7 linked regions of the Coturnix japonica genome follow. The protein of the gene in region 4 interacts with the protein of the main gene of each other region in a biochemical or structural test. Links are inferred from orthologs where the notes say so. Each region holds a gene or a part of one and is shown on either strand. Other genes may lie near its edges.

Region 1 (3,500 bases), on a different chromosome or scaffold from region 4:
CTGCTGTGGGCAGTTACCAACCCCTAAACCAGGCACCAGTTTAAGCTGCCCAGGGCCACATCGAACCTGGCCTTGAACAACTCCACAGATGGGGCATCCACAGCTTCTCTGGTCAGCCTGTGCCAGAACTGTTCAATTGCCCTTCAGACAGTTTTAATAAAATTAAATACATTCAATACACTCGATGTCCACAAAACTTGACTTCTGATAATGAGCATAACAATGCCATTAGGACCATGCCAATTATGCTACTGATTAATAGAAAATGGAAAGAAGTGAAGTACATACTGTAGGTGGAACTGGATCTTGAAAAGCAAGACTCATTTCATGACAATAGAGGTATAGCAGCAATCTTTCACACTTCTGTGTCAAGAAAAAAAGATAGATAATACACAAATAAAAAACTACACAATCTATTCTAAAATAATGATCTATATAAAACATCAAGCAGATGTTCAGTACTTTCTCAGTACTCCTCCAATTTCTCAGCAGAAAACTGAGCACAGAAACTGTATTTGGAAACAAGCTTACCATAACTAATGGTCTACAGCATACATTCTCTGCAGTTGATACACTATATTTTTATTAACACTCAAATACATGTTACAAACCTCATATAGTTACTAATAGTGTTGTTTAGCGTTTGCCAAGTCCAACAAACATTATGTGGGATAAAAATGTGTGGTATATAAAAAATAAAAATGTGCTGTATAGCAGCATATGTGGCTGTTAGTTTATTATAAACATTCAGAGAAATCAGTAATAGCTTTCCTAATTGGTGTATAGCCCACTGTGCTTTTTGTTAGTGGTGGGGAGAAATCTCTGTTCTGTGTGTACCTGAGCATATTAAATGGAATCTTGAACCTTGAAAGAGATTCAGAAAATAGTTTTTCTGATTCTATTCTTGATGATCCTCCACTGGAATATTTACAGGAATTATAATTTATATTTAAAGCCAAATACAAACACAGTTAGTTATTCCCTTTTACAATGCGTCAAATACAAATAATGGCCCTACATGTAGACTGTGCCCCCAAGTGTAGTAAATAAAGTCAATCTATACTGAATCTGGAAAGTACAAAGGAAGAAAAAGGTCATTGTGTATGAGGTCAATGTTAGAAACAGTGCTTGGCAATTCCTAGAATACAGTCCCCGTTCAGAGCAGGAAAAAACAACCACTTCTCAGACTTTCAGAATGTGTTGCTCAGCTTGTTTACATGAAGGCTGTTAAGATCTCAGAGCCTACTGAAATAGTTATTTCTCCATTTTACTATCCTTTTTTTTTTTTCTTTCCTTTTCTTTTTTAATGCATACATTTCTCAGTAAAAGAAACAACAGGACTCATCCTTACCCTACGGTCTATTGGTGCCAAGCCCACAGTATCTTCCAGTTTTCTTTTTTCAGGGTTGTGAGTTGGTTTATCACAATCATATTCAACTTCTGGCTTGGACAAATCCCGACAGAATGTACAAATCCACTCTCCACTAAACAAGACAGACAGATGCATTAACCACGGTGAAGAAACACATTCTTGACTTTCTATGTACTTCTGGAGAAGTTTTTTGTGTATGGGATGGTATTTTTTCTGCATTGTGCCTTGTTTTGTTGCTTTTGTTTATTTCCTACTTAGAACTACAAAAAGCAGAGACAGGCAGTGCTGGCAAAAATGCTTCCTTAGAACTTTCTTTTCTTTTAATGGCATTGGTATTATTAGTGGTGTCATAGTAGGAAAATGGCTTGTCATAACAGACTGACAGTGACTACTTTTGTTTGTGTTATAACTTTTCACTTGACCTCACAGAATTCAATCGAAACATTATTAAGAGGTCTGCTTCCTAACTACAGAGAGAATGAAGGATTCATTTGCAGACATTGGTCCAGGAGAAGGAAAAGTACTGAAGTTATATAGGAGAAACTGTATTTTCTCTTTATAAGCTTGATTGCAAGATACTCCTGCTCTATACAGATAACTCTGGACAAGACTTTTTGTGCTGTTGAAGAAGCAGAAGACCGAACTAGTTCTGGAAGCTGACTACATTCAACAACTCTCATTCAATTTGTGAACCTCTGTAAGTTTTGGAAAAGCTATGAATAAACAGTAAAGACGTCTGGTGAACTTGCACCCCTACATATAACCACAAGAGGGCTGAGTTGTACTTCACACTGTAGACATAATTCAGCAGTAACTGCTTATGAGAACCAACTGCATGCATTTACTCAGAGATATCTTATAATAAGATCTTAGCAAATGAAAGATTCTGCAGCAGCTTTCAGTGCATTTTGATAGTAAAACCGAAGACTTGCAAAGTTTAAAAAAACCAAGCCTGTCTTACTGGTTCTCACTTAGTGTAATTCAAAGATTTCCATCCTCTGCTAGTTTTAACATATGGTAATGAATAATGGGTGTCTCCTCTCAAAAAGAATACTTTCAAACAGTTCAGCTTAACGAGCTATTTACATGATACTGACATCTCTGCACGGACAGACAAAAATAGATAAAAGTCATGACCTAAAGATCTCACAGTACAGGAAAGGCAGAAGATGGAGGAAAGGCACATTCAAATATCTAAGAGTAAGGGAAAGTATAATGGGCTACAGTGAAGGAAAGATAAGATGAAGTGACTTTGTGAGTCTACAGGAGAAAGTGTTCTATCTACCTGAAGTAATAACAAAAAGCAATCACAAAAGAAGTCATTGAGACCACTGACGTAATAATAAAGGATTCTTTTGTGTGTGCTCGAAGGAACTAATGCTTAGAGACCAACGTTTGTGAACAAGCCCATTGCAGCAGCAGCAAAAAAAAAAAAACAAACCCAAAAAACAAAAACCATGAAGATGAGAACAAAAACGTGATACATCTGAAGCCAGGAGGAAATTTAAGCTAACTATGGTTCTGAAGTCCAGGAACATAGTGCACTTGTATTAATATGCACCTTTACAAAACTGAATGCTTCTCAGAAAAGTTGTTTTTGGCTCCATTGTGCCCTGGACATCATCATCCCAGTTTCCATTGAACAATCCAGTGAAAATGAAAACTTATAAAGATTTATTTCTGAAGCTTTTATTTTAATAGAAGCCAAGTCTTGTGTATATATAGTTATCTACCTATATCCTTACAGATTTTCTTCTACCTTTCAGAGAGGCACAAATGTTATTAGCTTAAGTTCATACTGTGACTTTGCCGAGTTTTGTTTACGGCACAAAGCAATATAACATCATTTTATTTAAAGAAAAAACCCTATAATTTGAAGTTTCACAAGGTAAAATAAACATCTTTATGTGCCAGTTTTAGAGACATTGAAAAGATATGCTTGCAGAAATATGCTCGTTTAGAGTAGCACATAACCAGAGATGATCAGCATATAAATCTAACTTGTTATCCAAATGTCTTATCCCAGCACATTGTGCTAATATTTAAGAAGAAAACCCAATATTTACATAAAAGCATTAAACAATGAGCATGTTATGACAGATGTTCTGTCCTTTAATACTAATAAGCT
Region 2 (3,218 bases), on a different chromosome or scaffold from region 4:
GAGCCCCTGAGGAGCTGTTACTAATTGTATTCTTCTTCCTTTACCTTTTAAGTAGATACTCTCAAGTTTCAAGCACCCAATTGGTTTCAAATTTCAAATAAACCTCTCCACAAACCCTTCAACAGCACTGGATAGGAAGACAACCCATAATGTTACTTAGTACATATAATGCCCAGATCCTGTAGGCCCCCTCATCTTCAGAGCATTTCTATTATTGTTCATTCATGCTTGTATCATTCCATATTCCAGTGATCAGACCAGTCTGTAATATACAATAAGCAATTGATCCCTAGTTAGTCATACAACTCTATAAGGTGCTTAAGGAACTGGTCAACTATAGAATAGCTGCCAGTAATCAGCACAGAGACAGACCACCTCTACATCAGGGACAGGGAAAATAAAGGAGGCAGCAGCTGAGAAGTAAAGCATCACAACTTTTAACCGAGTTGTGTTCAGAGCTGCTTAAACAGCGGCCTTTTAATGAAGAGGATGAAACAAAGCCCTTTATATAAACAGTTTATTTACTCTAAACAGCAACACAGACAATGCCATATAAACACAAAGGAAGTGATGCAGAATAAGGATGCTGGCTGACTTTGGATCTCAGAGGCTCTTAAGCAATAACAACCTAGTTTCTGAAAGATAGAAAAACAAATTCAGGGAGGGAAGGGGGTGGAGGGCATGATTTTTATTTTTCCATACAGCCAGCTAAAGGCTAAATATAGTTCTAACATTTTAAAGCATGCCTGCATCAGATAGCAAAGTAACTAGAGATACTAGTGAATTTATAGAAGTATAAAAGTTTATAATTTTACAGCAGTTGAAATACTGACATCAATATTAAAATAAAAGCAAGTTTTACATAACAATCAAAAATACAAAAGACTGAAGGAAGAGACCCTGTATGAAAAAACTGGGGGCAATTCAGCAAATTTAGAACTGTATACAAGTGGCGAATATGGAAAATGGCACACATACAACCCCCTCCCCTAAGTGGATATTAATTGTACATAGCAACATTAGATTTTGCAAAAGTTTTGTAAACAAGTTCTTGCCAAACCAATCCCTTCCTTTTTAAGATGCTGCATGACAGATGCTTATGATGGTGCAAACTTCTTGGCTTGTGCTCGAACCCTCTTTTCATATTCCACTCTGTTTTGGCTGAATAGAAGAACAAGAAAGGGCAATTAAAGCTTGAGAAATAAGGCCGAATTGCAAAATTCCCTCCTGTTTCTAGCTGTTAATTCTCCCAACTCAGAGCACCCGAATAAAGGAACACCTTCCATAGCAAACTGCACAACTACAGGAGAGGAGGAGGTACACAGCACACCTGAAGTACTGCAGAAAAACAGTACAAAGGCAACCCCAAAAATGAGAACAAGTCCAAGATCCGTGAGTCAGTATCAATTAGTACCAACCAGTCACTGAGGTACAAATTAACAACCTGCCTTCACAGCCTCTGCAGTTATGCAGGAACAAGACCAGCAGAGATGGTTTTTGCATAAACACATGAGGGGAAGTATAAAATGGGTCATGGGCTATGTACGCTTTCAGAGAATTATTCTATTCCTGCTCCATATTTCCATAGACTATTTTTTTTCTTATCCAAGAGGAGAAAAGAAGGTGGGTCTGCCTTGTCATTCCTCGCTCCCTAAGGCACTGCCTACAACCATCCTCCATTTGAACACACTCATCCAGTCTTCAGAGATACTTAAAGAATACCCTTGAGTAAGGTCTATAAATAGGATACACACCATCCATCCCTATGATTCCTTCTCTCTGTGGTCCTGTATGACATTTCTGACATGACTTTTTATGAGACTCTGCATACAAGCTATTTTTCTACCTTGGGACTCTCCTGAAGACTTGTTCTTCAGTCTAATTTTGCATTTCTGTTTCAGTCGTTATTTCAGTAGCTGTCAGTGCCAAAAGCATTTGTTTACAGAGTGTACTGCTTCCTTAAGAATTATGGGTCAGTAATCTATTTTTAATGATAGGAATATTTTAAGATTGAGCCTAAAAAACGGTGGGGTTTTTGGTTTGAATTTTAACTCCCCTAAAGCTCCAGGCCTCCTATACACTTAAAAACAGTTTTGAACACCAGTTTTCAAAGCTCATAAAATCCTTCTAACAACCACAGCTCTTCAACCTTCAGGCACAAGCACTTATAGGTGCACATTGCTGGACAGAACTAAATTACCCCTGTATTTACCAATGGAACTTGTCAACTAATCCACTCTCTTCCTTCTCACTTTCACTGTTCTTATGAAATCATTATGCTTTGGAATCTGTACTGGTCTGAGACCAAGATGAGAATCATGGTCCAACTGAACGCATCTTCATGTTTTCTGTTGTCACACTGTTAAAAGTTCCATTAGCCTATAAATGCTGGAGGTATTACTTAGCTTGAGTTCAGCATAAGCTGGGCATCTCAACAGGACATAGCCATGAAGGCAGAAAAGCTCCCTTGATCCTTCCCCCAAACATTTGCATGTACCATCGACAACAGACAGCTGTAGGCAACATGCAGCTCTCATGGTGATCCACACACTTACCAGTAAATTGTGTACGCCTCTGCTTGAGCTGGATCTTGAATATTTGGTTCATTTAGAAGTTCTTGTATTCCTAACAAGATCTGTGGATGAAGGTACAGAAGCAACAGAAGCACGGATATTACTAAGTGATGAAGAAACATGCAACAAAAGGAAAAAAAAAATAAATCACTACATTCACACCAAAAATCCCAACCGTAGAAACATGTAATGAGCATTTTACATTCATGTAAGACACACTGGCAAAGCGAGAAAGAAGCATAATTATATGCATAGGTACAACTAATGACCTGTTTAATTGTGATTGCTGGCCTCCAGTCCTTATCCTCCTCTAAGATGGAGAGACACACTGTGCCTGAAGGATACACGTTTGGGTGGAATAATGGTGGTTCAAATTTACCTGAGGGAAAAAAAAGAGTTACTGGCATGCGAAGCCAAGGCTAATATGTAACAGATTGTTTAGAACATCAGTGTAGGACAAACAAACCAGCCAGAGACACACATACACACAAATTCTCTGCACATCTGTCCCCCATCCAACTTCCCCCACTCACCAAACAGGAGATTTCCACAGCTATTGTTAAAGAGCTGCACTTTGGCTTGTGGCCTGTACCAAAAGCAGGAAACCTGCCATGTCTGTGTTACCACCCCAGGCAATTCCACAGC
Region 3 (3,951 bases), on a different chromosome or scaffold from region 4:
CCCATTTGTGCACCAAGAGCTGCGTGCCCTTAAATCACAGAATCAATCACAGAATGACCCGGGTTGGAAGGGACCTCAAGGATCATGTAGCTCCAACCCCCTGCCTGGCAGGGCCATAAAACATACACATTTACTAGATCAGGTTGCCCAGGAGACCCCATAGATCCCCATAGAGACCCCATAGACCCCATAGACCCCATAGAGACCCCATAGACCCCATAGATTCCCATAGAGACCCCATAGACCCCATAGACCCCATAGAGACCCCATAGAGACCCCATAGATCAGGTTGCCCAGGGCCCCGTCCAACCTGGCCTTGAACACCTCCAAGGACGGGGCATCCACAACCTCCCTGTGCAGCCTGTTCCAGGGCCTAACCACTCTCCTAGTGAAGAACTTCCCCCTAACATCCAACCTAAATCTTCCCTCTTTTAACTTAAAACCATTTCCCCGTGTCCTGCCAAATCACTTGTTCCCATCCTCACAGGGTTCACCAGGCACCCCCTGTGTGAGGAATTCCTCACAGGCCCCACTGGAATCCATAATTGTGTGCTGTCATTTAACTAATGCTGATCAAAACATACAAATTCCAGAGCAATTCAAGGTAAAAACCTATAAACCTGCCTCTCACCTACCCAGCATTACTCCTTCAGCACAATGGGCTGCTGCCTTTAGGTTTAGTCTTTCAGTTCACCACCTTCCTTAACTGCAACAACACCGATCTCCTGTCAACAAGGTTAGGCAAACAGCTGCTGATAAAATGACTTCCAGGTTGCTCTTTCCAAGGCCATTTGCCATGGGGTCCTCGCTTCAGACGAACACCCTGTGTGTGTATGTGTGTGTGTGTATGTGTGTGTGTGTGTGAACTCCTTGGCAGCGACAGCTGCCAGATAGCACAACCTGATTGCAGCGTGGGGCCTTGGTGCCATGGTACAGCCCGGGTTAATGACTTTGTTTATACTGTTTGGGTAATTGTGATAAGGCTGCCCAACCCGCTGCCCCTGCTGGGGTTTCATTGAGAAAACGGCCATTGACGCCATGCTGAGATCCTGCTGGTTCCAGCCAATCAGTCTGGGGACAGCTGGGGTTGGTGGCTTTTTTTTTTTGTTGTTTTTTTTCTTCTTTAATGAGGACCGCTTAATCACGGAGCGGTCAAGGCTGGGAAGGGGTGTTCCACTTGTGACCGAGCCTTATAAGAGCTTGTTTGAACAGCCATGTGCTGGCAGAGCTGGGAGGACAGGTCACTCCCAGATTGAGACGGGGAGGAAACTTACAGGTCTCTCCCATCTGCGGAGTTTCACAGAGGATCCGGGGCTCCCAGTTCTGCTCTGATGACCAGCAGCATAGACATGGACTGCGAGAGGTGTCAGTGCCAGCATGAAGACAAACACCCAGCCATTCTCTACACCCTCCTCAGCCAGAACCTGAGCCACAGCCCACCTCACCAACGCTGCCTGTGCCACCAGCGCTGGACGGTCTGCCTCCGGACACCCCATATCACCTGCCAAGCTGCATCCGACGTGTTGGTGAAAACCATCAGCTTCATGAAAAACCTCCCTTCCTTCCACCTGCTGCCTCGAGGGGACCAGCTCCTGCTGCTGGACAGCTGCTGGGTCCCCCTCTTCCTCCTGGGGCTGGTCCAGGAGACGGTGACATTTGAGGTGATGGAGACCCCAGCCCCCAGCATGCTTGAGAAGATCCTCCTCGATGGCCAAAGCAAAAGGCAGGAGCCTGAGTGGACTCAGCCCATGCTGGCCGCTGTGCAGTGGCTGCAGTGCAGCCTCAACACCTTCTGGAGCCTGGACTTGAGCCCCAAAGAATACGCCTACCTGAAGGGAGCCATTCTCTTTAATCCTGGTGAGTGTTCAACCCTCCCAGCTCTGCCTGCTGGTGGCAAGAGAAAGCCCTGCATGAGTTAGCATTTAAAAACACTGCTCTTGGCTTGGAGTCGCTCAGAGTTTGGGCAAAAGTGTGTGTGAGAGCAGGGAGAGCTGCTCACATCATTAGCACCAGCAATGCAGTTTACCTCTGGGAAGCAGGGAGGAGGGATACTGAAAATGTAGTGTTTAAAAGCAGAGACCTCCTTACCTTGCAATCAAAGAACCCTGGGTCTTACTCTACAAAGCCCATGTTTGCTTCATTAGCTGTATTTACTCCCTCAAAGCAACAGCCCTGAAATACATGTTGTTAATGGCTCTGAGGTTTTTCTCCAAGATACGGGGAGAGAGATGGGAGAAACCTCGAGCTGTTTTCCAGCCTTCCTCTTCACATCCTTCCCTCCTTTCTCTTGGCAGATGTCCCAGGGCTGACAGCCTCCCTGTACATCGAGAGCCTCCAGCGGGAAGCCGAGCGAGCGCTTCAGGAAGTTGTGCAGATCCTACACCCCAAGGACCAGGACCGCTTTACCCTCATTTTACTCATCACCTCCACCTTGAAATCCATCCCTCCTGCCCTCATCACAGACCTCTTCTTCCGACCCATCATTGGCAACGCAGACATTGTCGAGCTCATCGTGGATATGCTGTATGAAATCACCAGCTGGCAGCCGGCTCCTTCACCACGCGTGGCTCTGTGAGCTGCTGTGCTCTGCCACAGCCCTGGGGGTGCTCAACAACACCTGGCAGGGCAGCAGGGAGGACTGTGGAGCAGGCAGTCAGGCACTCAGCTCCACAGGGCTTTGCGTGTGCCTCTCTCTAGGCTGTAGGGCTCAGAGCATAAAGGAAAGCAGCCTTGATTCAGCATGGCTGCTCCACCTCTGCCAGTCTGTTTTGAGGAATGTGAGTGTGTGTGGCTGGTGGTACTGAGTTTCTAGCAAGCAGGCCAGCCCTGTGACACAGAGCAGACTGAGTTAGAGCCTGCTCCAGGCTTTTTATATCTCAGTGAATCCTCAGTTCAATTAAAATCAATGTGTGTTTTGTTAACTCCATGAGATGAGGTTGGACCTCAACTTGCTGCCCGTGATGGCTCTGTGCTGATAGTGGTATTTAGGGGTGCTGAGTATCTTCGGTGGTATCACTTGTAGAGTACAACCAGGTGCAAGCCGTAAGGAATTAGATCTTTAAGTATCAGCCAGTGTCTGCTGTGCATGAAATCTCACAGACAGCCACCAAGAATCCTCCTCAGACAGCAGGAGGGAGAAGCATCAGATCTTACAGGGCGTGCAGCCAGCTTCATGAACGCCTCCTGCCTCTCATCACATCGCATCTCCTCCCCACGATGCCATGAGCTGCAACAGGATTGCTCACAGATTGGATTACCTAAGAGCAGTGAAACGTACGGCAAATAACGCTGCATGAACACCACTTCATCCTCCCTATACACCTCAATATATATATGGCAATACTTGGAATGGCTCAGGAACACACTGAGCTACAGACACTGAACAAACATCCCTGCCTTGAGTTCCAGCTGGTTCAACATAGTAGGAAAGCTCGCTTCTCCTGCCTGCAGCTTTTGTCACTGATGTCAGTATTTAATGAGCGGACCTTCATTTGATTTGTACATAAGATGCAGTAAATTATTTTTTTAATAAAAACGTGTCACATTTTGGTGATTTTTTGTTATATTTCTGGCATTTTGGACTTGTAGAAATAGCTGTTGGAGGTACAGTGTGGGAAGGACACCTGAATGCAGGGATGGAGCATCATAGGGAATCATAGGGGAGCATTGCAATGCAGCCCCATGAGCTGTGCTGGGCACACACTGCTCTGTGCACTGAAACCTGCAGAGGCAGCACAACTGCAGCCTGTCTGTGCTGCACCTTCCTTCACGCACACAGCCACACCTGGAGGTGCTGATGCAGGAGGTTGGTGCTGACTCACCTGGATGTGCACACACAGCCCTCAGCCCACAGGAGAACAGCCATACAAAGCCTCCTGGCTCCCCACCACCATAAACACACCGTGTTTGAACAGCAGCCTGCTGGGAGAACTGTGTGCTGCCCATCCGTGC
Region 4 (3,998 bases):
CAGCCCCTGGCTTCCAGTTCTGAGTCAGTGCACTACCGAATAGGTATTACTGCAGTATGTTAAATAAAAACCCAGAAGAAAACAAAGTATTTCCACTTTTCCAAACCTAAAACTTACAGACAGTAGGAAATGCATACACTGAAAATAATCCCCTGATGTGCCAAGGCAGAAGTAAGACTTCAAGCCCATACAAATAGATAATTCTCATAAGATTTAACACAAGGCTTCCAGTCTCTGCAGAGATTGTTCTCATAAACAAAACGCCGCAGGCAGTTTTTATCTGTGAGGAGACCAGGTAATTTGATGTATTCAACTCTAATCTATAAATTGCCTTCAGTATACAAATGGAGACTTTCAAAACGCTGGATGACTAAGAACCGTGAGGCAAATTTGGGATCTTCTAAATCTCCTAATGATGACCAAGTGATCAGGAGTTCTTAAAGATAAACTGCTGCGTGCTGGGGCACCTGGGCTTACAGTGACTCTCTAAAAGCTGTTGATCTTATGACTGACTTACAGCATCGAACTTTTTAATAAAAGAATCTCGGGATGAAATAGGAGGTGACATGCTTGTTTGAACTTGCTCTGTCTTGAGACTTACCGAGCACAGCCTATACCACTGCTTAGTGCATTCCTGGGAGGGAAAGGGGATAAAAAAAACGAAAAAAAAAAGAAGTAGGGGTGAAAAAGAATTTCATTTACCTCCGTCACCGCTAAGAATCTGTTCAGAAAAGCATTTACTTCTGTCACAGCGGGACACAAACTGACGTGAGGTGAGCGACTACACGGCGCAGAGAGGAGCTGGAGAAGGGGAATGCAAAAGAGAAAGCAGTCAGCAGTCAGTCAGCAGCCGGAAAGAACTGAGTTCTCAGCTACAGGAGATTGCAGAGAGCAGAGATCAAATTCCAGATCCACTGCAGGGCCCGCGCTCTGTCCTCACACGAGGTGCCCGCGTGTGATCGCGCTTAACGGGCACGGACGAGAGGGAACCGGCTCGGGGTGAACGGAGCGGGTCTAAAGGGGAAAGGAAGGAGAAGCGGCGGCTCCTCCTCACTGACCCGTTCTCTGTCCGCTCGCCCCGTTCAGTTACTTCAGTCCCGGCTCCCGCCCCCAACCCGCTCCCGCCAACGGCCGCTGTAGCGCGAGCCCCGACCCGCGCGGCGCCCGCAGCCCCGGGCACAGCTCGCCCCAAGGCGGCGGGAGGCGGCGCCCGGCCGGGAGGCGGTGCCTGGCCGGTAGGATGGGCCGGCACCGGGAGTTTATCCCACCAGAAGGGAACAGTTTCTCCGGCTGAGACTTGACAGCGCCAGGTCAGTGCGGGCGACCGGGGGATCTTCCCCCCCGCGGTGAGGGGACGGCGGAGCATTGAGGGGGACTGGCGGTGTGGGGGCTCCTGAGGGAAGCGGGGCGGCTGAGGAGCCGCTGTCGGGGTGAGGGAGCTGCGCCCGGCGTGGGCAGGGGGCTCGGCACCGGGCCTGGGCACGAGGCCACGCCGGCGGGATGCTGAGAGTGGCGGGGAGGGAAGGTGGCTCTGAGGGAGCGGGAGGCGGGGAGGGGGATTCTCCTGGACGAGCGGTGGGGCTGAGGGAGAGCGGGACACGGCCCGGGTCGGGGGTGGAGGAGAGCAGCCGGGACACAGCGCCGTGGGGCCGCGTGGGCGGGCGGACGGGATGGGGTTGTATTGTAGTGGACGAGGAGGAGAAGCGAGGGGGCGGGAGGACCCCGCGGGACGGCTCCAGGTGCGCTGCCGGTGCTCGGGGGCGTCGTGCCCGGCGGTGAGCGGCGGCTGCGGCCTGTGGGAGGAGGGAGAGAGAAGGGGGGAGGTAGGGGTAAGTTTGGGGGCGGCTGGAGTTAAGGGGAAGGGTCTCCTCCCCGCGGAGCTGCTGCGGTCTGGGCGCATCCCACGGGGTGACGGGCAGAGCGCCGGGTCTCATGTGGCACCGCGTTACAAGGGAAAGGAGCCGGGAGCTCGCTGGTGGTGCTCACCTGGTCCATGAGCTTAATGAATGAAAAGAGGTTTGGGTTGTTTTTTTTTTTTCTTTTTCCTTTTTTGTTTGATTTCTCAACCGCAGCGAGTCAGGGAGCCCTTATGAGCCTGCAACAAGTGAGATGCCGTGTTGAAATATGCAGTGTCTTGATGGTATGCCTCAGGTTTGCAGGGGCGTTTTGTAATCTTCCTGGTGTCATTTCTCTCCAGGGTATTCTACAACTGGAGAGTGCAAGTTCCTGTGGTGTTGTAACTTCACGGCAGTGTGTACACACGAGCATACAATGCTGACTTAACAGTGATGTATTTATTAATAATCAGTGACGTAAGGCTTGTATTCACTCTGAAGAGCTCAGGAAATGCTCAGTTTCTCCCTTTGCTGTAGGTGCCTTTAAATTGGAGGGATGGATTACAGTTATCCTGGCTATAACTGGGGCTGTGGGCTGGCATTCCATCTGCAACCTGCTCCCCCATCTCTGAACAGGCTTTTACCATGGAACATGATTGCAGTGTTCCATTAAAACACGAGTATCTAAAGCAAAAATATGTGTATTTCTGGTAGCAATTAATCAGTAATTTAGCTTTTAATACGTGACTATAATTTGTTACTAGTTAACTAAAAAATTCTAGTGTACATCAGCTGTGTATGTCGTGGCACTCAGTGCTGTCCTTGGGAAAGGAGTTTCGTATGTTTTGCTTGCGTTAATAGCAGGGTTTATTGCGTGAAATAGTGTTTGACATCATTATTCTCTGTGGCTGTTACAAAAAATAGCTGCAAAAATGCTCAGAGATTTAATTAAAAGTCTGTAAGAAATCTCAGTGTGTTAAGGCACGTGATGCAATGTTAGCATGAACTTGACAGGAGGGAGAGAGAACTGGAAAAATAATTGGCATGGACTTTGATAACCAATGATATAAATACATATAATTTCAAGGGATTTTTACATAGCGTTTGGGTATTCTTGGACATCAGTTTTGTAGGATATACCATTAACTCTTAGTAGTTCAGCGGCCATTTGTCTGTAAATTGCTTATTTTAGCAATGTCTGTGTCAGAGTCCTGGATATCACAATGTATTGAACAGTATTGCTCAGTGAAACTTCAATTACTATGTGATTATTAAACAGATAATGATCATTCTCCTCTGATTTAAATAGTTTGTATAAGGAAATATCTCAAAAAGTAGGTGGCAGGATATTAGAGTTCAGTTGAATATAGGAGCAATGCCTTTCAGCTTTTCATATGATATCAATTAGAAACCCGCTACTGATGCTGTTTCTGACTCTTCGGTGAATTTTTGGAGGTACCTGTGTCCATTTAGAAATCAATACAATGTAGGTCAACCTTCAATTATTATCAGTATATAATTTTCTACTTCTAACAATGACTAATAGGAACCAATTTTGCAGGAAGTTATATTGTAGGAATAGGGGAAAGTTTACAAGTAGAAAGAAAAATCTGTATTATACTAGACTGGAATACGTAATTGAAAGTATACTCTGGGATTTTGTTTTCCATCTTCCATTTCTGGAGCCTCCTTTTTCACTTAGTACCATCCTGAACAGTTCATGTATTTACTAGCCATGGTTTGGAGCCTAATAGTGCATCACTAGATATTTGCATTTGATATTCAGAACTTGAGCTTCTTTCACTCGCTTTTATCGCAGGAGTTTTTCAAGTACTGTCCTCTGCCATACAGTAAAACAGTTTCCAGAGCAGTTACTCAAAAGAAATTAAAATGCAATTATTAATTCTCCACGCTGGGTTCTCTTGAAGTCAGGGATACAATACTCTCCACTGGTAGTTGTTACTGGTTTCATCTTATTAGTCACTGGTAGACGTGTTTAATAACAGACTCTGTCCCAACTTAGCATGATATTAGAGGATTCCTAATTACTCTCAACTGTATTACCATAACCATAATTATTTTTTTTTATTTTAGGGGTCTGTTTTTCAGGCCCTTTATACAGATGTTCTCTGTGTGTCAATTAACTGTTTGTCAACTGTAAAA
Region 5 (3,978 bases), on a different chromosome or scaffold from region 4:
AGTTATCTCTCTCTCTGAGGTTTGCTAGAAAAAGAGAGAAGTACAGTTCAGGTTAAATCTCCATTGTTTTCAGTTTCTAAGACTCAGAAGCAAAGTGCAGTCACAACTGATCCACTCTTAACAGCCAATGATTTTCATTATTCAGAACACAATAAAGACTTGCTACAAAAAGACTAGTTCCATTCCACTGCCTTTAAGAGAGTGATCTCCAATAATACACGAGATACGCTGCTTACATAAGAACCCCAAAATAATTCTACAGCAGAGATACCTTCCCACAATGTAAGATTTCCTTTAGATTCTCACAATCAACATTAGTTTTTGCTGGAAAAGAGTATGAACACAACCAAAGTAACATAATATGTAACTAGAACTAAGCTCAGCCAAAATCAGAGCAGTAATTAATAAACTACTGTCTAAATATTGAATGAGTAGAACTATGGGACCTGTCCACAAAAGTTATTTAAGTATTTAAGACTTTAAGTACTACAACCCAGTAAAGCCTCTGTGCTTACCATTGTTTTAATTGAACCAAATGAGGTAATGGCCTGGCGAAGGTACGATGTGTCAGCCTCAAAATTCAGGACAGAAGACTCCTCTGGTTTAAGAGTGAGACTTTCCAGTCTGAAGGAGCAAGATGAGAGTTACAGCCTTATGTTTTTAACTTCTACACCTGTACAGCTGCCTTGGCACTGATTAACAAAAACAAAACATTTTTACTGCTTGTACAAAAACAAGGAGATGTAAATTCACAACCTAAAGCAAAGAAACCAGCAAAGCACAACTTCTTCCTTCTTACTTCAAATGAAAATCTGAAGTGATGTGCACAAATGAGCACACCTACTCCTTTCTATGGTCTTGCTTTGTTTTTTACCAATCTAAGGTGCAGATGAGAGGAATCATACTTCAAAGTGCTTAAAGACTCTCAACTATGAACTATTAAAACACAGAAATGGTGATTCAGGTTAATTATTAGTTCTTCTAGAATCACAAATAGGGTTAAATTTCTAAGTCAAAATAAATTACCGACTGTATTAGCTCGCATTGTAATCAATATTTACCTCTCCAGGCAAACTGAAATCTGGTTCGCTAGTTCGTTGTTGTAGGAGTGTTCCAGCTGATGAATAAGGCAATTGAACTGTCCCAAGAACTGTGTGGAAGACAAAACACTCATTATTGTTTGGGCTTCTCAAGTTAAAACCAAGATAACTACAAAGATGCAGTTCATTTTAAAATCCCAGTGCAACCACCTCTTACCCAGTAGAGCTGCTGAGCTTGCTGCTGCAGCGCCTCCTCCTTCAGCTGCTGGATGAGATCTACCTGCTCAAACAGCCACACCTCACGGCTGCGCAGGCATTCCAGCTGGCGGCTGATATGGCTGTGAATCTTGGCTTTAACCTGCAAGGCAGCATTATAGCATTATTCATTGCTGTTATATCTGTCAGATGGTACCAACAAGCACATGCTGGGCAGGTTACAAAACTCTATTTCTCAGGCACAAGTGGTATTTTTGTACCAATTTATTCCTCAAGCTCTAAACCACAGTAACCCACAACGCCACATGACTCACAAGTCAGTGCAAGTTTCCAAGCTGCCTCTAAAGATGATCAAATAACAACGTTATTCACAACATCCCTTTACTCAGATGCTTCAGCCAGAAGCTTTAGAAAATGCCACATGCCTGGGCTAGAAGTACAAAACAACCTCACCTAAAGCATGCCTAAATTACAGGCCAAGAGACTTGCCCATCTATTGGAAACCTTCAGATCACCCTCCCAACAGAAAGTACTCTGGAATTATTTAAACTGCCAGTGAAGTCAGACTAGTTATTAATGCATCGTTAACGAATGAAGAATTACCTCTCGCCAGTTCTCTTTAATCTGCTGCTCGGCTTTGACAATTCCAGAGATAGCTGTTTCCAAGTCCTTCCTCGCCTGAAGGCACTTTGCCAGCGTCTCGCTGCTGCAAGAACTTCTATTTCTGTCTTGTGGCAGACTCATTCTCAGCGTGTTCCTAAAGCACAAGGAAAAAAAACACTTAGAAGCTTCCGTTCTTCCTTAAGGAAAGAGGAAGGGAAGAGCCATCGATGTTGCTTCACTATTAAATGCAACAACAAAGCCTGAGACCCCACAGCGACTGAGTTCTGTGAGCAGAGCTGAAGCTTTCTCTGAGAGCAACAGCAGACTCCGGGGTGCTTTGGCACAAGGAATTTATGCAACCACAGGAAAACCAACAGATATTTGCCAACAGGCTCAACCGCAGGAGCTGAGGCAATCCTCCCTGCTGCTCACGTGCCCCTGCATTTCTGTCTAGCCAGCAAACTGCAGCAGCTGGGAGCTGATCTGGGCAAGGCTCTGCAGAGCTGATGGGGAAGGCAAGACCAGCCTGGCAAGGCTGCAATTCTATCCTTGTACTGACACAGCCTGGCTCATTCACAGCTGCTGCTCTACAAGGTTTCACACCCTTCACCTTGCTAACGTACTCCTTAGAACATCCTTTAGATTCTCCCTTTTTTGCCTTAAAATCAACCACCCTCAAGCCCTGGGTTAGGTTATAACCAGGACTCAAACTCAACTCCCTGATATACAGCCTGCAGGAGTGCAACCTCTCAGAAGCCATCTGGAAACGTTAGTATGAAAGTCAGAGAAAACCAAGCAAAAAGGCAGTGACACGGCTATACCCAAAGCTGCCACATATACAAAGCAATACGAATAGATCACAGACCGTATTCCTTACATAAGAACCACACCGCCGTGCCCTCCACAAAGAGCAGCAAACGCCGCCCTCCGGCTCTCGCAAAATGGCTGTTCTGCCTCGTCAGGAATCAACAGCCAAATGCACGCAGCGTTACGGAACGAGCCGGATCGCTCGTTTCCTTTTCCTCAGCCCCTTCAGTCAACAACGCAGCCGCTCAGGACGCCCGTCCCTGCCTCACAGCGGCCCCGAAATACCTCAGCGGGCGGACCGGGGGGCAGCAGCAGGTACCGAGGGGCAGCAGCAGCAGCAGGTACCGAGGGGCAGCAGGTACCGAGGGGCAGCAGGTACCGAGGCGCTCCCCGGGGCTGGGCCGGGCAGCTCCGCGTCTTATCGAGGCGGCCAGGCCCCGCTCCGCCCCGTCCTCACACGGGGCGCACAGCGAGGGCGTGGGAGCCGGAGGAGCCGCTGTTGGGGGGGGGAAGGGCTCAATGAACAACATACAGCTCGATGAACAACAGAAATCCCGTTCCGAACCGCAGTCCCGGCACGGCGCAGCCCCCAGTCCCCGCAGCGCACCGACCCCCGGCCCGCAGCCCGCACTCACCGTGCGCTGCCCGCGCCCCGCTCCGCGCTCAGCACCGCCGCTGTCGGGACACGAACGGCCGCTCTCGCGAGATGGGCGCCCCGAGCGCCGCCTGGAGGAGCGGAGGAACGGCTGCAACGTTGGGGGGTGCGAGGGTCAGAGCGCCGCTTGTTAAAGGCCGCCCCTAAGGAGCGTGGAGTGCTGCCTGTGTGAGGAAACATCTGGTTCCAACCCCCTGCTGTGTGCAGGGTCACCAACCAGCAGCCCAGGCTGCACAGAGCCACATCCAGCCTGGCCTTGAATGCCTGCAGGGATGGGGCATCCACAGCCTCCTTAGGCAACATGTTCAGTGCGTCACCACCCTCTGGGTGCAAAACCCAACCTAATCCAACCTAAACCTGCCCTGTCTCAATCAAAGAGAAGGCTGAGAGAGATATCTCAAGTGCAAGAGGCAATTGGACAAGGCCAGACTCCTATTAATGGTGTGCCACAGCGTAGCTTGCCCCATACTGGGCAGCACAGCACTGTGTAAAAGGGAAAGTGATGCTGCCGTGTGAGGCAGACCCAGCTGGGTGCCCTGACAGGACAGCCATGCCCTTGTCAATGTGAGGCAGCAGTGCCAAAGCACAGCCTGCAGTTAGGGCCATCACTGCAGGTGTCATGGCACAATGCCCACAGTGCAGCCAGCAGCAGGCTCC
Region 6 (3,940 bases), on a different chromosome or scaffold from region 4:
TGGGGGCAGCTGTGAGCAACGGGCCCCACGCCGCCCCCCCCCGCCCCACCGTGCCCCCCAACCCCTCACCTTGTAGTCGGGCAGCTTGGCCATGGCCGGCCACTGCTCCTCCGTGGGGGTGCCCAGCAGCGTGCGGGGCTGTCAAGGGCCACGGGGAGCTGCGGGACTCTGCCCTCACCCCCCCACACCAACAGCACCCAAAGGATATCGGAAGATCCTCTTCAGCTGGTCGTCCACGTCGTTCCCTGGGAAGAGCGGCCGCCCCGCGTTGGCCAGCTCTGCACAGGGATGGATGGGGTGAGCCCCGATGGGGTGAGCCCCGATGGCCGCCCCAGGCGTCCCACAGCCCCCCCGGCCCCACAGCTACCTGCAAAGATGCATCCAGCCGACCACATGTCGATGGAGGTGGAGTAGAGCTTGGCACCAAACAGCACGTCCGGGGGTCGGTACCACAGCGTGACAACCTGCGTGGGGCACAGGGGATGCTCGGGAGGAGCGGGCAATGCCGGGACCCCCATGTGCATCCCAGCAGCCCCCTCCTCACCTCTGCTGAGTAGCAGCGCACCGGGATGCCAAAGGCCCGTGCCAGGCCAAAGTCTGCCAGCTTCAGCTCCCCGTTCTGCAGAGAGAGAAAGGGGTCAGGGGCTGAGGGAGCACCCAGCGGACCCCAAGGGGCACAGGGGGGGGGTAACATGGTGCCCCTGCCCCCAGCCCAGCACTCACCCTGTTAATGAGCAGGTTCTGCGGCTTCAGGTCCCTGTGCAGGACGTTGCGGCTGTGGCAGAACGCGAGGCCCTTCAGCAGCTGGTACATGAAGGACTGTGGGAGAGCACAGCCCACAGTCAGCACAGCACCACTGCCAGCACCAGCCACAGCGACAGCAGCACAGCAACACAGAACAGGCTGGAAGGGACCCCAAGGATCACAAAGCTCCAACCCCCCCCCACAGGCAGGGCCACCAACCTCCACATTGATACCAGCCCAGGCTGCCCAGGGCCCCATCCAACCTGGCCTTCAACACCTCCAGGGATGGACGGGGCATCCACAGCCTCTGGGCAGCTGTTCCAGCACCTCCCCACTCTCACAGTACACAACTTCCCCCTGACATCCACCCTCAATCCGCCCTCCTTCAGCTTAAATCCATTTCCCCTTGTCCTGTCACTGCCTTCCCTTGTGAAAGGTCGATTCCCCTCCTGTTTCTAATCCCCTTTAAACACTGTCAGGCTGCACTGAGCTCACCCCGCAGCCTTCCCTTCTCTTCTCCATGCTGAACAAGCCCAGCTCCCTCAGCCTGTCTTTGTCGTGGAGGTGCTGCAGCCTCTGAGCATCTTTGTGGCCTCCTCTGGACCCTCTCCAACAGCTCCCTGTCTTTCCTGTATTGGGGGCCCCAGCTCTGGACGCAGCACTGCAGATGGGGCCTCAGAGGGCAGAGCAGAGAGGGATGTGGCCACACACACACACACACACACACACACACACACACACACACACCTTCACGATCTCAGGGTCCAGATCCCCGTTGCAGCTGTCGAAGTATTTCTTGAGGTCCTGCAGGGGGCGGTGCTGCCATCAGGGCACGGACGGGGTTGGGTTTATGGGGGGGGGGTGTCATTAGGGCCGGATCCGCGCTCACCTGGTCGCAGAACTCAAAGACCAGAGTCAGCTTCTTGTCGCTGTGCAGCACGTCGTGCAGCCTGGGGGGGCGGCACCAAAGGGTCGGTACCGGGCGGGGAGCACCAACAGCAGCACATAGAGCACATAGAGCACATAGAGCACATAGAGCACACAGAGCACATAGAGCACATAGAGCACATAGAGCACATAGAGCACACACAGCACATAGAGCACATAGAGCACATAGAGCACATACAGCACATAGAGCACATAGAGCACATAGAGCACATAGAGCACATAGCACATAGAGCCCATACAGCACATAGAGCACATAGAGCACACACAGCACATAGAGCACATAGAGCACATAGAGCACAATAGAGCACGATAGAGCACATAGAGCAACATAGAGCACATAGACGCACATAGAAGCACACACAGCACATTAGAGGCAAACATTTAGAGCACACAGAGCAACATAGAGCAGCACAGAGCAACATAGAGCAGCACAGAGCACATAGAGCCACAACAGCACATAGAGCAACAATAGAGGCACACCTAGAGCCACATAGGAGCACACACAGCACATAGAGCACATAGAGCACATAGAGCACACACAGCACATAGCACACACAGCCCATATCACACACCGGACTCACCTGACGATGTTCTTGTGCTTGAGCTCCTTGAGCAGGCAGATCTCCCGCAGTGCAGAGCTGGGCACCCCCTGCACGGCGGCACCGCACGGCTCGGACCGGCCCCGAGCAGCCCCGTGTGCACCGGGCACAACCGGACCGGGCACAACCGGACCGAGCCGAACCGAACCGAACTGAACCGACCCGACCCGGCCCGTCGCTGATCCCGGTGCCGATCCCGGCCCTCACCTCGTCGTCATCGTCCAGCCGCACCCGCTTCAGCGCCACGATCTCGTGCGTCTCCCGGTTCTTGGCCTTGAACACGGTTCCGTACGTACCTACGGACGGACGGCTCAGCCCAGCGGCCCCACACCGGACCCGCCCCGCCCCGCCCCGGTCCGGTCCCGTCGCACCTTCCCCGATCTTCTCCAGTTTCTCGTATTTCTGCATGGTCCCGTTCGGTCCCCTTCGGTTCCGTCCCGTTCGGTTCCGCTCCGGTCCCGGTGCCGGCCCCGCCCCCGCCCTCGTATCCCCGCCCCTTCCGCCGCCCCTCCCGGCAGCCCCTCCACTTCCGTCCCGCCTCCCGGAAGTACCGGCTCTTCCGCCACGCCGCCGAGCGGCCCCGCCCCCTTTAGCCCCGCCCCTTTTGTCCCCGCCCCCCGCTCCTTGTGCCGCGGGTTCGATCCCCGCCGCCGCCGGGCGGTTCCGGGTGCGGTTCCGGGTTCGGTGTCCGCTCCCGGCTGCGCTTCCGGCTCCCGGCCCGCCCGCTCCGCCCGGAGTCCCGGTAAGAGCCGCTCGGTCGGTGCCGCCGCTCCGCGGGCACAACACGGCGCACAGCGCACGGCGGGGCGGCACCGGGCAGCGGGTACCGGGCAGCGCTTCCGCGCTTTGCGGGCACCGGGGGCGCCCCCCCGCCCTGATCCCACGTTCCCGCTCGGTGCCCGGCCCCGTTACAGCGGCGGGTGGGGCCGGGGGCGGCGCTGCGGACACGGCACCGCTACCGACACCGGCCGCCCCGCCCGGACCGGGCCGTGCCCCGCAACCCGCCCCGCTGCCGCCCGGACCCCCCCCGCCGCCCCCCCCCGCCCGTAGGAGTGGCCGGGAGCAGCCCCGGGGCTGCAGCGCCGCGGGGATGGAACAAAGCGCCGCGCCACGATCCGCCGCCCCGAGCCCGAGAGCGCCGCTATAACGGCCCCGGGGCGAACGGGCACGGACGGAGCGGCGGGACGCGGCGGTGGAAGCGCCGGACGGAACGGGGCCATGGGGTGAGTGGGGCCGGGCCCAGGGGCCGCTCCCGTGGGGCCGCTCCCGTGTCCCCGTGGGGCCGCTCGGTCCCGCGGTGGCGCAGCGCGGCTCCGTGATTCATTTCCTGCCCCCGACGGCTCCGGGGTCACGGCGGGGCGGCACCGGGAGTTTGGGCCGCGGGTTCCGAAGTTGCGGCTCGAACCCGCCGGGATGAAACCGGGGGCGGCCCCGCCCCCCGAACCGCGGTTACGGACACGGGACGGGGCGGCGGCGGCACCGGGACCGAGCGGAACCGCGGCTGAACGGGGGGGGAGGAGGGATGGAGGGATGGAGGGATGGAGGGATGGAGGATGGATGAGCTCCGTGCCTGCGCCTGGCGGGCAGATGTGGGGCAGCTGTGGGGCAGCTGTGGGGCTCTCGGCCGCTCCCAGCCTCCTGGCACCGAT
Region 7 (4,157 bases), on a different chromosome or scaffold from region 4:
CTATTCTAATGCACTTCCTCAGTTTTTTTATGAATTCCATCTCCCTGCAGTACCCTAAGCAGTACTATGTATGGGGGGAAGAGAGAACAGCAAGCCTAGAGAGCGATTGGCTCAGACAATCTCCAAAGGCACTCACTAATTGGTTACGTAGCTCATAAAAGGAGACCCTTTGGGAAGGATGAGTGACAAAGCAAGGAGAGGGAACAAAACCTGAACAAGCTCCTACTCTGTTCGGTTGAATGAACAACAGGTCTTTGATTTCATTAGCTCTGATATTTGGAGAATCATACCAATAAGTGCAACCTTATTCTCAAGCACGCATCCCTCAAGCATACAAGTGCAGAAGGAATGACTATTAAAAGCTCTGCAATTACTCTAAACTTGCACTGTAAACAGGATAATACCAGATCATAATTACATTCAAGATAAACACTTCATTGTCTCCATTACATGAAATCCAGTTTCACAAGAGCGTTCACAGTAGCACCAGCAGCATCCTTCTTACATGTACACACAGCAGATGCCACACCTACCCAACCAAAGCAGCACACGGAAAGAGCGGACAAAAGAAGCCCTGGAGGAGGAGGGGTTGTGTTTGCTATACTGCCTGCACAGGCTCCCTAATGAACACAGCTTGAACCTCCCACGACACGCTCTGTGTTAGTAAGTGTGAGAAGTTGCAACTCCTCGTGCACCCAACTCTATAGGACCGCGCACTGTGTTGCTTGCTCAGTGCGAGGGTTATGACCACCAGTAAAAACAACACTTCAAAAGCAGACATGCACTCACCCAGACTAAAATATTTCCAACCCCCAGGGGCTGAGGGGTGTTACATCCTTTTATTTTCTAAGGAGAATAAAATGAAAAACCTATTAGACATTTGGCTCGCTCTTAGTTCCTTGCATTAAGTCAAGAGTAATAATTTATTAATCAACACACAACAAATCCTTATGACATGTGACAGTGTTGGGAGGGGTTTTGCTTTCTTATTTAAAAGACCTTCAGCACTAACAATCAGTTAGGGGAAATACTTTGACAGCCTGCTTTGACACATTCCTTTTATTTGCATATTAAAGCAAAAAGTTATGTGCTTTCATTGACCTGCATTATTTTCACATTTTTCAGTGCTAAGTACGTTTTTTAGTCCTTGTGTATTATATGCCAACGTGATAGACAGCTGCTATGATTGTAGTGCCCCTGAAAATAGGTCTTTCTCATAAAAACTCAGTCCTAACAACATAAGGGTTTATCAGCAGGATACATGTGCTTTGAAATGGAAAAAAGATAAAGAATGTATAAGGGAGAACTGCAGTAAAAAGAAAAAAAAATCAATCACTCTGTATTAGTTTACTTTTGCAGATGGGCAATTGTGGTGCATTTAAAGCTGAGAGGAAAACCTCTAGCTTCAATGTTTTCCAGAGAATAGAGCACTCTGTTGCTGCTGAGTAAAGCCATGTTCACTATTTTGTCTGAAAACAAATGGATGGTTCTTATTTCAGACTAAATGGAAATGAAGCTGGATGGCATGAAAAGGATGTGACAACTGCCCCAGCAAAAATAAATAAAAAGGATGAAAAAGCACATCAAACTCCAGCTGCTCAAAAATAGCTTCGCTGCAGAGCTCCCAAACTGCTGGTCGGAACAACAGAAAGCTTTTACAAGGATCACCAAAGCCCGCCAGGTGCTGAGCACAAACCCAGTGGATACACATTTTGCAAAGGGACATCAGAACTTACTTGGGTTTGGGGTGAGCTGCTGCAGCCACGTGACCACCACCACCACACAACCCCACGGGTGCTCCCCAACAAAGGAGCCCACGGAGAGACTTTCTGCAGGCTCAGAGGGCTGACTCTCGCTCAGCAGCATGCATTAATCACCAACTTGAACCCACCAATGAGAGATTGCTGCCTCTACGCTGCTTTAAAAACACCCACAGTACAAAGGCATCCTACAAGGGTGACCACCAGCCGATCCATTCTCAAAACAAAGTGTTTCACAGCGGCTCTCCAGCGCTCAGACTCAATTAACTGCACCTGAAATATTAACCAGGCTGACGGACCCTGCTCACTTTGGGAGCTTTGTGCCACTTCAGCTGTTTCACACAGGTCATCAGCAGCCACAGACAGACAAATCTATAGCTGGAAGCTTTCATACTCGCACAGGGCTCAGGTTCTATAAAGTGAGGGACGCTGTTTGGCCTTTAGGGTGGTTTTGTTTTTAAAGAATCTTACAAATGTAACATTTATCACAACTAAAGGAAAGCGAGGTTACGCGAAACACTTACTTCGAAAATGTTCAGAAGCGTAATAATAGACATCCTCATAGCCCTCGTGGTAATCCTCCTCCGGGCGGTACTTTTTGCCTTTTCTTCTCCTTGACCTCCGTATCTGCTTGACGAAGCCCAGGAAGCGCTCCATGGCCTCAGCGCCCACCAGCAGCCCCCCACCTCACACAGAGCTGCCCGGGCACGGGGCAGCAGCCAGCACCGCAGGAACGCTGTGACCTTCCACCATCTGGTACCATTAAAAACCCTGATCTCAGCTAGGGCTGCAAAGCATATTGTTTCCCCCTCCTTAAAAAAAAAAAAAACAACAAGAAGGTGAGGGGTGGACTTTTATAAAATCTACAGACTGGAATATCTCAACATAAAAATAGATAAAGGGAAGAAACACTGATGGGAGGGGAGAACTGAGGGTTGCGAGCAGTTGTTGAACAGAGGAAAGTTGGAGTGCGCTGCCTGCCAGGCAGAGGAGCCGGCACCGGGAGCTCGCTGCCCTCTGTCTCCATCATTTGAAGCGGGGCTGGGAGGCGGGGAGAGATGCGAGTCGGCGGACTGAACCATATCCACAAGCGAGGCAGGTTTCCCTCTGTCAGTTAAATCTGTCCTCGCATTTACGCAGGCACGGGCTGAGGGCTCTGTTTGATTTCATTTTGTTCTACGGACAAGAAATGCATGGCTCCGTTCCTGGCATCGCACGCACCGGGAGAACAACCAGCAGAGTGGTTTAACCCATACACACAGCCCACTCAGCGGCAAGCGTGTGCCCAGTGTGTTAATTGGAGCAGCAGGGAGAAGGCTTAGCAGCTGTTAAAAAATGACACATATACCCACTGGGCATTGGTGCACTCTAATCATTGCTAGATCTAACCATTAAAATGCGCTTCACAGATGGGTTTCTGATAGAGCTGGCCAGGCTACATGGCAATAGGCAAACAAAGGAAGCCACACCACGCGCACACCACGCCATGCTCATTTAAAATCCTAGCAGAGTTTTAAAACTTTAAAGTGAAGATGCAGCAAACTGTGCTGGGCACTGGAAGAGATCAGCAAACAGCTCAGAAAGGCACTCACTCTGTCCTCTTGCTGCATGCCCAATTCCTCAGCATTTCCTCAGATAAGGCACGAATTTCACAATGAAGTTTATCTCCCATTCAAAATCAAAAGCAGTGTTTGCTCAAATCCCATTTCCTTGACATCTACCACAGATGGTAGATGCTCCCACGTGTGGTCCTCCAGTCCCACCAGACACCTCCTGGCTGCAGGCACCAGGCTGGATCCATCAGTCACCATCCATCAGTCAAGCCATCACCACTTGTGCTTGTACTTACAGGAGGTGCTGCCTGGCATCTATGAGCATGGGGACATCAGGCAGCCCTTCCATGGAACCAGTGTTACAGATCTTGGGCCCCCAGCACTAGAAAGACATAGAGCTGTTAAAGAAGGTCCAGAGCAGGGCTACAAGGAAGATCTGAGGGCTGGAGCCTATGAAGAAAGGCTGTGGGAACTGGACTTATTCAGCATGGAGAAAAGAAAGCTATGGGGACACCTTATTATTGCCTTCAAGTACCTCAGGAAGCTTACAAACAGGAGAGAGACTTAGAACACACGAAAGTTCCCAGCAGTCCAGAAATGAATGCGCACTGAAGGCAGGCACAGGGCATCTTTAGGGCATCCTCCAATTACCAAGCATTTTAAAACAATAGAGTCACAAAAATATATGTTTTCACCAGAAAAGCTGACAAAACCATGAAGGTGCCTACCAAGGTTCCCATGGGAGCCTGTGCTAACGCTCCCTGACCTCACCACCCCTGTTTTTTGCCCTGTGAAAATGCCACTACTGTCACCAGCCAATAAATACCTTGAGGTCTGGAATTAT

The links.
Region 1: the proteins of PPARG (region 4) and TRIM24 interact in a test that uses a peptide from one of them, tested with the Homo sapiens proteins (2 studies listed by BioGRID). The link is inferred for Coturnix japonica from reciprocal best matches to the Homo sapiens genes PPARG and TRIM24.
Region 2: of the proteins of PPARG (region 4) and UBE2I, one has a biochemical effect on the other in vitro, tested with the Homo sapiens proteins (2 studies listed by BioGRID). The link is inferred for Coturnix japonica from reciprocal best matches to the Homo sapiens genes PPARG and UBE2I.
Region 3: the proteins of PPARG (region 4) and NR0B2 form a complex in vitro, tested with the Homo sapiens proteins (2 studies listed by BioGRID, with this or other methods). The link is inferred for Coturnix japonica from reciprocal best matches to the Homo sapiens genes PPARG and NR0B2.
Region 5: the proteins of PPARG (region 4) and NCOA4 form a complex in vitro, tested with the Homo sapiens proteins (2 studies listed by BioGRID, with this or other methods). The link is inferred for Coturnix japonica from reciprocal best matches to the Homo sapiens genes PPARG and NCOA4.
Region 6: of the proteins of PPARG (region 4) and CDK5, one has a biochemical effect on the other in vitro, tested with the Homo sapiens proteins (3 studies listed by BioGRID, with this or other methods). The link is inferred for Coturnix japonica from reciprocal best matches to the Homo sapiens genes PPARG and CDK5.
Region 7: the proteins of PPARG (region 4) and GRIP1 form a complex in vitro, tested with the Homo sapiens proteins (2 studies listed by BioGRID). The link is inferred for Coturnix japonica from reciprocal best matches to the Homo sapiens genes PPARG and GRIP1.

Annotation. Positions count from the first base shown.
Region 1 is NC_029516.1:55,909,481-55,912,980, reverse strand, and holds part of TRIM24 (transcription intermediary factor 1-alpha), read right to left. Parts: intron 1,485-3,500; coding exon 1,352-1,484; intron 364-1,351; coding exon 289-363; intron 1-288. UniProt on the Homo sapiens protein: Transcriptional coactivator that interacts with numerous nuclear receptors and coactivators and modulates the transcription of target genes.
Region 2 is NC_029529.1:7,286,290-7,289,507, reverse strand, and holds the end of UBE2I (SUMO-conjugating enzyme UBC9), read right to left. Parts: intron 2,953-3,218; coding exon 2,843-2,952; intron 2,636-2,842; coding exon 2,556-2,635; intron 1,162-2,555; coding exon 1,098-1,161; 3' UTR 501-1,097; downstream 1-500. UniProt on the Homo sapiens protein: Accepts the ubiquitin-like proteins SUMO1, SUMO2, SUMO3, SUMO4 and SUMO1P1/SUMO5 from the UBLE1A-UBLE1B E1 complex and catalyzes their covalent attachment to other proteins with the help of an E3 ligase such as RANBP2, CBX4 and ZNF451.
Region 3 is NC_029538.1:1,621,961-1,625,911, reverse strand, and holds NR0B2 (nuclear receptor subfamily 0 group B member 2), read left to right. Parts: upstream 1-1,151; 5' UTR 1,152-1,331; coding exon 1,332-1,857; intron 1,858-2,294; coding exon 2,295-2,575; 3' UTR 2,576-3,553; downstream 3,554-3,951. UniProt on the Homo sapiens protein: Transcriptional regulator that acts as a negative regulator of receptor-dependent signaling pathways. Specifically inhibits transactivation of the nuclear receptor with which it interacts.
Region 4 is NC_029527.1:3,220,360-3,224,357, forward strand, and holds the start of PPARG (peroxisome proliferator-activated receptor gamma), read left to right. Parts: upstream 1-1,198; 5' UTR 1,199-1,310; intron 1,311-3,998. UniProt on the Homo sapiens protein: Nuclear receptor that binds peroxisome proliferators such as hypolipidemic drugs and fatty acids.
Region 5 is NC_029521.1:1,953,843-1,957,820, reverse strand, and holds the start of NCOA4 (nuclear receptor coactivator 4), read right to left. Parts: upstream 2,801-3,978; 5' UTR 2,739-2,800; coding exon 2,737-2,738; intron 2,014-2,736; coding exon 1,860-2,013; intron 1,399-1,859; coding exon 1,258-1,398; intron 1,151-1,257; coding exon 1,062-1,150; intron 625-1,061; coding exon 516-624; intron 25-515; coding exon 1-24. Other genes in the region: translation initiation factor IF-2-like, read left to right, coding at 2,801-2,981, 3,022-3,455. UniProt on the Homo sapiens protein: Cargo receptor for the autophagic turnover of the iron-binding ferritin complex, playing a central role in iron homeostasis. Acts as an adapter for delivery of ferritin to lysosomes and autophagic degradation of ferritin, a process named ferritinophagy.
Region 6 is NC_029517.1:281,036-284,975, reverse strand, and holds the start of CDK5 (cyclin-dependent-like kinase 5), read right to left. Parts: upstream 2,801-3,940; 5' UTR 2,700-2,800; coding exon 2,663-2,699; intron 2,588-2,662; coding exon 2,499-2,587; intron 2,342-2,498; coding exon 2,274-2,341; intron 1,695-2,273; coding exon 1,634-1,694; intron 1,549-1,633; coding exon 1,492-1,548; intron 820-1,491; coding exon 724-819; intron 620-723; coding exon 545-619; intron 465-544; coding exon 368-464; intron 279-367; coding exon 209-278; intron 131-208; coding exon 70-130; intron 1-69. UniProt on the Homo sapiens protein: Proline-directed serine/threonine-protein kinase essential for neuronal cell cycle arrest and differentiation and may be involved in apoptotic cell death in neuronal diseases by triggering abortive cell cycle re-entry. Interacts with D1 and D3-type G1 cyclins.
Region 7 is NC_029516.1:31,457,797-31,461,953, forward strand, and holds the start of GRIP1 (glutamate receptor-interacting protein 1), read right to left. Parts: upstream 2,801-4,157; 5' UTR 2,418-2,800; coding exon 2,285-2,417; intron 1-2,284. UniProt on the Homo sapiens protein: May play a role as a localized scaffold for the assembly of a multiprotein signaling complex and as mediator of the trafficking of its binding partners at specific subcellular location in neurons.